Linked DNA regions of Daphnia pulex. The protein of the gene in region 1 interacts with the protein of each later gene in a pairwise test. Links are inferred from orthologs where the notes say so. Each region holds a gene or a part of one and is shown in the gene's direction. Other genes may lie near its edges.

Region 1 (5,716 bases):
GCCTTGACTGCGGTACTCGTTGGTTTGCTCTAATCCGGCCATCTAATGTTGATTATTTCTCCATCATATCGAGACAAATTAAATCAACAACCTGGTGGCTTGCTGTCTGGGGCTGAGGGCAGAGGCCTAGAACCCATGAATCGCTTGAGAGATCCCATTTTCTCCATGAAGGATTCCTTGCGAGGCGTGGAGGGTGTCATCGGCGGCGGCTTAAAAAAGTAAAAAGGCCCAATTAGTATTATAACCTTATTGACAGATATAGAAATGTAAATGATACTTGATTTTGAGAACTCGATCCTCCGCTTTTCCTGCCCAGCAGAGGAGTCGTAAAAACATTTAAGCGCGATGTCTAAGGAACAAAATTGTTGTCAAGCAAAACAACATTGTTTTTGACGTAAAAAGCAACAACTTACCGAAAAATCTTTTCGGCTCAATAATGGGGTAGAAAATGGGCCTTTCTTTCCTTTGTTACGTGGTGGGGGTAGTGGTGGAGGAATTGAAGAATCGGCATTTTTGGGTGGCAGTGGTGGTCTAACTGTCGGGACTATACAATCCAGCGCCTGTGAAAAGACGAATTCTTTCGTTATCTATAACATTGAGGGTATTTTTCAAAATATGGAAGTACTTTTCTAGAATGATTCATTCTTTTAGGGTGTCGATGATACATGTCATCGCAGGATAAGCAAAATATTTGGTTGAGACATTTCTCACACCGAACTTTTGGACTTGAGGATCCACAAAGTTCACAGTGACGTCCATCGCCTTTTCTCGGCTCCATTTTTCCACCTACAACGTGTTGGAAAATACCAAAGTGGATGATTAATAGCTTTTCGTTTGAGCTAACCATTTTGTGCATACAAAAATAAAAATAAATTGTACCAAATCGAATTGAGAACGTAGCTTTATGCCCAGTCCCGTATTCTATGTCTTCGTATTCGTCCTCCAAGGGCGGTGGTTGGGTTGTGGGTAATGGAGGTGGTTCAGCAGATGCAGCGTCGTTGGTAGCAGATGCAGATTTATTTTCGGAACTAGCCGGCGTAATTTGCTAAATAATTCCCACAGCATAGAAACAAAATTAATTTCAAAAAATTAACCAACACCAACTTCCCCCATAAAAACTGACACAAAATTGATTGCAAAGAATTGGTTTAGTTGTTTCGCATCGCAATCAAAAGTATAACTGATGCTGGTGGTCTGAAGTAGTAAATAATAGCGTTGACGTACCCTCATTTCATTTGACACTCACAGGAGACATGGGATAGATTCGACACGAGATAGCCAATTGCGGAAACGGATAAAACGATCCCCACACTCAAAAATCGACTGAAAAATCGTATATAAACTCCCGGAGAGATGGAAAAGGCGGACCGCACGCCGCACTGTGCGATGATGATGTCCGTTCGCCCCGCCGGAATAGACACCAAAGAGCAAAGCAGTGCGACAAACAGGATAGGAATGGGCCGCTGGAATTGTCGGCAATCTGCCAGCGATTCACACGGCACCCCCTGACAAAAAGCAAAATCCCAAAAATATCGTCGAGCTCGTCCTGCTGGTCGTATCTTCCCTGTACCGGGGCAGTTCTCCCCCGTGAGACACCGCCAGCGCGTCAGTGAGAATCAATCTAGACATGCATGAATAGATTTGGCCTTCATTGGAAGGCATTCGGAAGGTGTAGCCAACGGGATTTTAATGGTAAATAACATCATGTAAACACCCGTGCAAACAAAAAAAAAAAAGTTTTATCAACTGAGGTGTACTATAATAGCTAGTAATCGTTCAGTAGATTACAGTAAACTATCAGAAAATATGAAACAAAATAAATAAAGTTTTTACTAGATTAACGTATCGTAAATAATAACAAGTTTGTTTTTTTGCCTGAGCATGCAACTATTTCAATTGCCTAGAGTTGAATGAACTGAATACTTCCTTGTCAATTTACCGAATCAAAAACCCATCCGAGTTCTCGAGATGTAGTTTCGCAGGAACAAAATCAACACTCGCGCTTATTGTGTGTGCCGTGTTTGAATGCAGCTGGCCTTTCTCTCAGACGTCACGGATTTAAACTTTATATATTCCTCTGGAAGAAAGTCAAAAATAGCTTGGCATTCAAGGTTTCCAACTCTGACTGCCGGCGCGTCATTGCCACGGTTATAGGAAGCCACCTCCGTCGTCAGAGACTATTCTGCTACCAAATATTTATCAACAACGATATCCAAATCATTAGCTACACCTCATTTGTCCATGCAAAGCATTTCAAAAGTTTAATCTTGATTAAATACCTACCGGAATTATTCATCTTCTATATTTAATTCTTTGTTTACTCTTATCTTTACACTCTTGTAGCTAAATAAAATATGTTTTTTAAAAAAATAGGGAATCGATAGATTTGTACCATCTCGGTGATGGGAATAACGTAAATTTTCAACACATTCATTTCCGGTTGTTTTACCGGTCTTTGTTGTGTGTTTTTTTTTTTTTTTTTTTTTTAAATTCTCTTCACGCCCATATATCTTCCACCTTCGTAGGGCGTGTAGCATACCGCGTGCGTACTGTCTCTTTTACTGCTTTTCGCGGCTTTTGCACTTTTTGGTCCAGTGCACAGCGCACTGGCTTGTTTAGTTATTTATACTCTTATGGAATTTTCTTATAAATATATCATTGTTATCCCTGTGTTATATGTTCACCACTTCGTCAGATTTAATCATGTCTATCTGGCTCGGGAATCATTTTCATCACCTTGCCAGTTGGCCTTATTCGAAAATACAGCGCCATCTCTGATCCAGATATTTACATGGGAATATTGTTAGTCTAAGCTTCGCTAGATGGCTTCTTTTGTTTATAGACAATTCATTTCTGATTAAAATCCAAGAATCGTAATGATCACTACAATTATATCCATTTCTTAACAGCGGTAAAAGAAGTGACACTGCTTTATTGTGGTTTCTTAACATTCAAATTATCTAATAAATCCGAGTTGAAAGTGCGTTGAAATGGAAGACTATGAGGTATTAGAAAAAATTGGAGAAGGATCTTTTGGAAGAGTTTACAAAGCAAGACATAGACACTTGAGAGGTTTGGTTGCTCTCAAGTTTATTCCAAAAGTAAGTGTTATAAATAAATTCCTTTCCATTTCATTGTAACAAATTCTATACTTTGCGTTTGTAGATTGGTAGGACAGAATGTGAGCTGCAAAGCTTGAGACACGAGTTTGAAATCCAGAAAGGCTTGCGTCACCCAAACATTGTTCACATGCTTGGTGCCTTTGAGACATTTAAAGAGGTAATCAAGAAATTTCACAATTTATTTGTTGTAGTTTTGTGTGTTGATTATTAACGATTTATTTCTCCATCCAGCTAGTTGTTGTCACTGAGTATGTTGAAAGTGACTTGTACAAACTACTGGAAGATGGGACACTCTGTGAAGACAAAATGCGAATGGTTGCTTGCCAGTTGCTATCTGCTCTCTACTACCTTCATTCAGACAGGATATTACACCGTGACATCAAACCTCAGAATATACTGCTGACAAGTGATGGCATCATTAAACTTTGCGATTTTGGATTTGCAAGATCCATGGACCTCAACACTTATGTGCTAACATCTGTCAAAGGAACTCCATTGTACATGGCCCCAGAAATCATAGAGGAAAAGCCATACGATCATAATGCAGATTTATGGTACATTTTTTATTGCAGATATTGTCTCTTCAAAGATTTGTTGATTTACCCTTCATTTTTACAACAGGTCCTTAGGTTGCATTTTGTATGAGCTCCTTTTTGGATCGCCACCCTTTTGCACCACATCTTTATTGCAACTAATACGAAAAATTCGTTACGAAACCGTGCCTTGGCCCACAAATCTGAGCCCAGATTGTTTCAACCTCCTTCAAGGTCTCTTGGAGAAAGATCCTCGCCGCAGGCTAACTTGGCCTCACTTGCTCGAGCATCCTTTCCTGGAGAACAAAGTTCTGCTCCCACCTGAAAGACGTATGTTCAATACAATGTTCCTTTTCTGGTAAAGGTAACAAATTTCACTGATTCCCTCTTTACCTTCTCTCTAGTGAGACCTCAGCTTCCCTTAACGACTGCCTTGACGGCTTCGCAGGAACTGGCCAAAGAGATTCAAAGACAAGATCTCTCCCAAAAGATGCCGTTCAAAAACAAGTGAACATTGTCGTGCTGATTATTTTATCCAATCCTTTAACTGAAATTTATTGGTTGTTCTTTTACAAGGGTTTTCACGCGAGCCCTTCAGAGATTAGAAGAGTACGAACGACGCCGAAATAGCGCTCCAGTTTCTCAGCCCAAACAATTGCTGGCCCATCCCGCCGCCGCCTTCCACAGCACCCAATACAATCCGTACGTCACTTTAAACAGAATTTCTAAAAGTCGCGTTTTTTTTTAAATTTAAAACTTTATCATTTTGGTCGAATAGTGCATTTGGAGACTGGACGCGTCGCCAAAGTGCAGCCGTCGACACCCACCGTTTACCGCCTGCCATCGATCCACGGATCAGTGAGAGGCAGCAATTGCTGGAAAGAATTTTAGAAACGACCAGATGGCCGACCAAACAAAATGTGGCCGATTTCGATCCCCTCGATCCTGGCACCAACGCTCATCATTTCTCCCTCATTCAGCCAGCCGTGCCCAACCCGCCAAACAACCAGCCGACTGTCGAAGAAACTGTTTCACCTTCCATCGAGCCCAAAACGGAGGTAAAAATCGATGTGCAGTCCTATCATAGAAGAAAGGATTGACCAAATGATGATTGATTCATTCTAGGCCAAGGAAACGACAACTGGCGAAGTTGCGGCCGCCGCAACCGCCGCCGCCGGTTCGTTGCTGTCGAAATCTCTGGAAAACGACGAATGGGAAGAGTTTCTTGACGGAACGCTGGCCGACGCCATAGAGAATCCGCAGACGCTGGAGCAGAGGGATCTCGTCGCCGTTGTGGTGGCTCCGTTACGCAACGTCAACGCCAGCCCGAGCCTAGTCGAACGTATAGCGACTCTGCTGGCCCTGCCTTGGGCTGGAATCGACCGCGAGGAATCAGTCGACGAAGAATTAATCGTCCGCGCCTACGCAGACACCCGCGTCGTGCCCAATCTCTTGTACGCTTGCAAAGTAATGGTTCAGAGAAGATCTGGCGATAACCGTAGCACCGGGTAACTCCTCTTTTTGTTTATTTGTCACAGTCTAAATTCCATTTCTCATTCTCCCATGTGATTTCATTTCGTTTTCTATTTTTCTTTTTTTTTTGGGTTGTGCCCAAAAACAGGAGCATCGACAGTAAAAAGACGGACGCCGAATTGACGGCCGACGATCTGCAGTCCTTAGAAATGCTGCTGGGTTTGATGGCCCGTCTGGTGCACCTGAGTACGACCGCAGGTAATCACTCATCGCGAGCTCTTGTGTAACTGGAAACGAAAGTGGGGGTGGCTAATCATTATTTTAATTTTCTATTCCTTCCCTTTTTTTCCCCCCGATTGAATTCACAACAGAATTCATCAATCAATTCTGCGATGCTGTTTGCGTGCTGGATTGCGCGGCCGCCATTCATCACCTGTTGTCTGTCGATCGTCGCAAAGCCCATGCAGTCGGCCACGTTCTGGCCATCCTGTCGCACGTCCTGCGCACTCGAGCCGAGAACGTTAGCGTCGTCCAAGATATTCTCACTCAAAGAGGTATTACATTTCACACAATTGCCTTGAAAAATAA
Region 2 (5,845 bases), on another chromosome or scaffold:
TGAAATAAAAATTACAGCATGAGTGATATTACATTGAAATGCCCCAAAACGACTAATTCATTAATATAAATTCATCTTACCGATTTGCATAGTGGCCGCGCAGTCCACACTATTAACAACAAAAAGATAAGTGAATAAGGGTAATTTCAAAAATCGCGAATGTGAACAAATAAATTCTTTTACTCTATAACAGGTGACTTCATCTAAAGGTCTCAAATTCGTTCGATCTCTCTGGGCTTGGGAAGCGTTATTTGCATGAGTAGAGGCATCGGCGGGCGTGCGGTAAATGTCCTTAGATTCTGATGGAATTTTCGGACATTGAGCTACGAAAAACAAAATGAAATCAATTTGGGACGAAAAACTTGTATTATGTAATTCAAGGTTAGGATTCTTACCAGCTTTATGTCCCACTTCTCCACAGAAATGGCAGACTAGAGGCATCTTTCTCTTGTCACCCTTGATATCATCTGGAAGTGGAGGTAATTCAAATCTCGGACTAAGAAAGAAATTCACAGTTATTTTCACCAACTGACAATAATATTACGAGTTATTTTGTTCTTACTGGACGAATTTGCATTCGGGGCCGTCGGGACAGAAGCCTGCTGTGTAGTTCATGCAGAGCACACCTGAAACATTAAAGCAATATTTAAAATGATTCTTTCACGAAACGATAAAAATGTTATTACGTCGAACATGACGGTGTCGGCAAGTCGGTCCGTGACGGCAGAAACCACGATCATACCAAGGGCAATCTTTGATCTTTGTTTCAGGGTCAATGTGTAAGAAAGGGCATTCTTTGTTGTGACAAGCACCTGGGAGAAAGAAAAAAACATTAAAACTGTTTTATCAAATCAACTCTAGATATGGAACTCACTGAATCTGGCGTAGAAATAACACTCTGGCATCTTAGCCATATCAAATTCATGGAGAAATTCACACTGATCTCCTTTCTTGCATAGTCCTCTGAGCCAATGTTTACATACAATTGTCCGGTCTGCTCTGAGGTGTCTGTATGGGCAAAAACTTGCTCTCTGGCATTGACCTTTAGTGAATAGAGTGCACACCATTGCCGTTGATTCTGAAGAATTAAAAGACCCAAACATTATTAGAAGTCGAAACCATGTGCACATGCATTTAATTCACTTACTGTCCATTCCGGGAAATGGGAGATTTTGGGCTCCCAGCTGTTGCTCTATAAATACAAATATTGGTTCATTAGTTTCATTCAAATTGAAATATGGTGATGATATCAGATCTTGATTCTCTCTTACCCAAGGCAACTTCAATATCAAATTTGATATTGGCAATAGGCGCCATTACGGTATCCATGGTGCCCATTTTTAATTTTAATAGTTATAGTAAAATTCCTGCTGAAAACGATTTAATTTACCCATGCACCAAGCAACATGTACACCAACTTTTGCTTATTTTGCTTTTGACACAAATTTAGAGGAAGGGTAGCCGGGCTACCGCAGGTGAGACTAAACGGCATCTTTAGTTATATTCTTTTACGCTTTTAGAACGTTTCATAACAAAACTAAATTTAGAAATTTTGTAGATCGGAATTCAGCTTTTTATGTAATGGGAATTTTTAGCTTTTAAAGTTTAGTAAACAGTACCGCAAAGAAATGAGGATGGCAATTGATTTTGTGTGCGGTCATCTAGGCCTACACATCATTGCACAGATTGCACTTATTCGGACTCGTGTCTTTGTGTAAAGGTTTACTATTCAAATGAATTGAAATATCAGCAATTGTCTTTTCAAAAATTATCTTAATAGAACAATACTGCTAGTGCTACAGAAAGAACGCCGAGCTCCGCTCACTAGACGAAAAAACCGCAAAGATAAGCTTATCTGTAATTCTTCTCATTTCTCAAGTAAATCGCTAGACTTGGAATTATTTCAGAGAATTCGAGGGTGAGGAAGGAATTTCGTTGTTTGGTCAAAACAAACAAACAAGGTCGAGAATCACGAGACAGAAGTTTGCTTGTTTTGATTTTATTGCGTTTCGCCTCTGCTTATTATTTACAGTAGCTGCCTGGTGGTTCCGCTAGAGGGCCAGTTTTCCATTGCTCGCTGACATGGCTGCCTAAAAAGTGTACCGAGTCCCGTTTTGGACTGCAAAACAAATTGATTTTGACAAAGGATTTCTGTTCTTGTTATATATTTAGACTTACTTAAATGCATGGTTTAAGCCGCACGTGACTTTTTATTATTCTCGATGTCTGAAGTGTAATCTCAGTTCTGTGTTACGATTGGGAGGAGAGTTTGCCTGTTCGCCAGCAATGTCCCACACAGGGATCAATAGGAGAAATGGGGCCATTAAGATTCGACTCACAAGTAAGTGTTTTTTATTTTCTCTTTTGTTTTGATGTTGGGCCAATTTTTCAATCGTGTGCCACAAACGGAATTTTCATTGATTCCTCCTCGGTGAAGCAACATTCCTGGGCTGGTTTTCTCTCATTCCAGGCTTTATTTTATCTGATACCCTGTTTCCTGTCTTTGTAGAAAGGGTAAACTTCCTCTTGCCCCCAGGGGTGGGTTGAGATGGAGGGGAGAGGATTAGTAATGAAATAACAAGTCTTGATGGTATGACCGTGTCTTATTGATGTTTATCTCTTTCTGTCTCTCTCAAACCACCAGTACTGTGCGCCAAGAATCTCGCAAAGAAGGATCTGTTCCGTTTGCCTGACCCATTTGCCAAAGTCAGTGTTGAGGGATCGGGCCAATGTCACAGCACAGACACCTGCAAGTCTTCGTTGGACCCAAAGTGGAACCAGCACTTTGACCTGTAAGTCATCATCACCACCAGACAATTCAACTCTTCAACGCCTGACTGTTTTTTCTCTCTTTTCCCACAGGTACATTGGCAAGTCAGATGCGATAACCATCAGTGTTTGGAACCACAAGAAGATTCACAAGAAGGAAGGTGGCGGATTCCTTGGTTGTGTTCGAATCATGTCCAATGCCATTCAACGCCTGAAAGACACAGGATGTAATGCCAAATAATTCTGTCTTGTGAATGTCCACCTCTAAATTCTTCGTCTCTTTGTTTGTTTGTTTTTCAGATCAACGTCTTGACTTGACGCGCGCGAACGCCAACGACACCGATCAAGTGAAGGGACAAATAGTTATTTCCTTGCTGTCTAGAGAACAGCACAATTCGTCAAGCTGTCACGAGAACAGTGCAACTCCCGTCGTCCAAACCGTTGTGGACGCTCTGGGAAATGTTGCCAGCCCTGCGTCACCTGCAGGCATTCAAGAAGCTGCCACGGCTTCAGTCACCTCTCCCCTTCCGCAGGGTAAATTAAACAACAACAACTTGATGACTTTGAAAATTTTATTGACAAATGTCTTCATAATGGGCAGGTTGGGAGGAAAGGAGGACATCCAGTGGCCGTAGGTATTACGTGAATCCGGAATCGAGAAGTAGTCAATGGACCAGGCCCATCGTGGAGAGTAGCAGCGGGGCTCAGGCCAGCAGCAGCGGCGGCAGCTCAGTTTCGGCCAGCAATGGTCGAGAAAGCAGACGCAGTCACAGTAGCAGAGAACGTGATAAGCGACATCCAGCGGTTCCGGTTCAACAAAGTCACAGTCTGGATGCGGTGTCGTCGTCCAACTCTTCCGGATCGTCTTTCAGAAGACGATCTGTCCGCCATCGGCAACCGCAACAACAACAACAACAGCCATCAACCCAGCAGCAGCAACAGCAACAGCAGTCGAGACGGCCCTTGGCCAACGATTTGCCGGATGGCTACGAAATGCGTAAAACCGGCCAGGGTCAGGTTTACTTTTATCACGTGACGACCGGCATCAGTACGTGGTACGATCCGCGAATCCCACGAGACCTCCGCGATCTTCCCATGCCCGGCGCTCTGCCCCCTGGCTGGGAAATGCGTCACACTCCTTCGGGCAGGATTTATTTCGTGGACCACAATAACCGGACGACGCAATTCACCGACCCTCGTCTCTCTACGGGACTGGCCTTGCAAAATCTCCTCAAGTAAATTATTTCAAATAATAAAATTGACGTCCTTTTTTTTTAATCACGTGAATTTTTTCCAGTCTCCACCGGTCAGACCATCGTGCAGCCCCGTCGCAACCTCAACCGACCCTGCCACCACCCAACGCCGTCGCCACGTCGGAGAATGGGGCCTGCGCGGCGCCTGTGGCCAATTCGACGTCCGCCCCACCCCCGATGGCCACTCCCCTGCCGGACGAGAAACAGGAAGAGGCTCTGCCGCGTTACAAGCGCGACCTGGTCGCCAAAATTAAAATCCTGCGGACGGAATTGCAGACGATGCAACCGCAATCCGGACACTGCCGGCTGGAAGTCTCTCGGACTGAAATTTTCGAGGTTTTGCCAACTTTTGATTTTGATTGAATTGAATTGAATTGAAAACTAACGGGAATAATTGATTGATTGTCATTCAGGAGTCGTATCGGAGCATCATGAAGTTGCGCCCGAAGGATCTCCGCAAAAGATTGATGGTGAAATTCCGCGGCGAGGAAGGGCTGGATTACGGCGGCGTTGCCCGCGAGTGGCTTCACCTCCTCTCGCAGCAGATGCTCAACCCGTACTACGGTCTTTTCTGTTACTCACGCGAAGATAACTACACGTTGCACGTCAACCCCGACAGCAGCGTCAATCCGGTAATGGATGGCCATTGTTTATTTTTCTTTCGTTTGTTTGTTTGTTTGTTTGACAAATAAGTGATTACTCATGCGCTGCCGGAATGGAAAATGAGATGATTCATGGTTATTTTTCTTTATTTTTCTTTTTGGCGGGGTGGGGGAATTGCACAGGAGCACTTGTCCTACTTCCACTTTGTCGGCCGGATCATGGGCTTGGCCGTCTTCCACGGCCACCATTTGGACGGTGGCTTCACCTTACCTTTTTACAAAATGCTCCTCAACAAAGCCATCGTTCTCGATGACATCACTCACGTCGATCCCGAGCTCCACCGCTCCTTGACTTGGATGCTGTACGTGATTTCTTTCTTTCAAAAAATTAATTCCGTTTCATTGACTGAAATCTTTTTCTTTTCTCTTTTGATCCGCAGTGAAAGTGACATAACCGGAGTGATCGACACGACTTTCTCGGTCGAGCACAATGCTTACGGCGCCATTCAAGTCCACGACCTCAAGCCCGACGGCCGTGATTTGATCGTCTCCGAGGAGAACAAACGGGAATACGTGCGGTATGGCCTCACAACTCTTTTTTTCTTTTCCACACTCATTAAAAATGACAACTAGCAAACATTATGGGGCGTATCAGTTCCCAGCTTTCTTCTTTCTTGTTGTTCTCCCCCCCCCCTTCCTTCTTGATTATCATGATGTGGGCGCGGCCGACCTAACGGACAAGACTACTGTCCCGCGGTCAAGACCGTATTTGGCTCTTTTTTTTATTTTCACGTTTTTTGTTGTTTCTTTTTCGAAACTTAGCGGGGTGTGGTCTGGATGACTTTCCAGGTCCCGTCACGTTTCGCAGCTGACGTTATCGAGACTTTTGATTATTTGGGTTTCCAGCTGATGCCAGCCAATTGATTGTGTTCCTGTTTTTTTATATTATTATTATTATTGGGTACTCGCCCGTCAGGTTGTACGTGTCCTACCGATTTATGAGGGGAATCGAACAGCAGTTTCTCTCGCTCCAGAAGGGCTTTCACGAGCTGATTCCGGCCAACCTGCTCCGACCGTTCGACGAGCGGGAACTAGAGCTTCTCATTGGTGGCATTTGCAAGATAGACACGGCCGATTGGCAGGCCAATACTCGACTCAAGGTGAGCAACAACTTCTTGGTGCCCATCCGTCCCATTTTCAATGGATGTCCTGTCCTGTCAT

The links.
Region 2: the proteins of serine/threonine-protein kinase fused-like (region 1) and E3 ubiquitin-protein ligase SMURF1-like interact in binary tests that used the Drosophila melanogaster proteins (3 or more experiments, as listed by UniProt). The link is inferred for Daphnia pulex from reciprocal best matches to the Drosophila melanogaster genes fu and Smurf.

Annotation. Positions count from the first base shown.
Region 1 is NC_060025.1:6,991,993-6,997,708, reverse strand, and holds the start of serine/threonine-protein kinase fused-like, read left to right. Parts: upstream 1-2,470; 5' UTR 2,471-2,990; coding exon 2,991-3,101; intron 3,102-3,165; coding exon 3,166-3,279; intron 3,280-3,353; coding exon 3,354-3,676; intron 3,677-3,743; coding exon 3,744-3,985; intron 3,986-4,059; coding exon 4,060-4,162; intron 4,163-4,231; coding exon 4,232-4,357; intron 4,358-4,433; coding exon 4,434-4,713; intron 4,714-4,780; coding exon 4,781-5,163; intron 5,164-5,276; coding exon 5,277-5,386; intron 5,387-5,499; coding exon 5,500-5,682; intron 5,683-5,716. Other genes in the region: E3 ubiquitin-protein ligase lubel-like, read right to left, coding at 92-209, 278-349, 414-560, 626-786, 880-1,045, 1,225-1,230. UniProt on the Drosophila melanogaster protein: Probable serine/threonine-protein kinase; maternally required for correct patterning in the posterior part of each embryonic metamere. May be involved in control of cell division during metamorphosis and ovarian development. May interact with costal-2.
Region 2 is NC_060027.1:2,522,506-2,528,350, reverse strand, and holds the start of E3 ubiquitin-protein ligase SMURF1-like, read left to right. Parts: upstream 1-2,036; 5' UTR 2,037-2,286; coding exon 2,287-2,341; intron 2,342-2,644; coding exon 2,645-2,792; intron 2,793-2,862; coding exon 2,863-2,996; intron 2,997-3,069; coding exon 3,070-3,303; intron 3,304-3,370; coding exon 3,371-4,004; intron 4,005-4,066; coding exon 4,067-4,358; intron 4,359-4,435; coding exon 4,436-4,654; intron 4,655-4,807; coding exon 4,808-4,986; intron 4,987-5,064; coding exon 5,065-5,202; intron 5,203-5,600; coding exon 5,601-5,784; intron 5,785-5,845. Other genes in the region: cleavage and polyadenylation specificity factor subunit 4-like, read right to left, coding at 81-109, 184-323, 396-496, 563-626, 687-812, 875-1,078, 1,148-1,192, 1,272-1,338. UniProt on the Drosophila melanogaster protein: E3 ubiquitin-protein ligase which accepts ubiquitin from an E2 ubiquitin-conjugating enzyme in the form of a thioester and then directly transfers the ubiquitin to targeted substrates.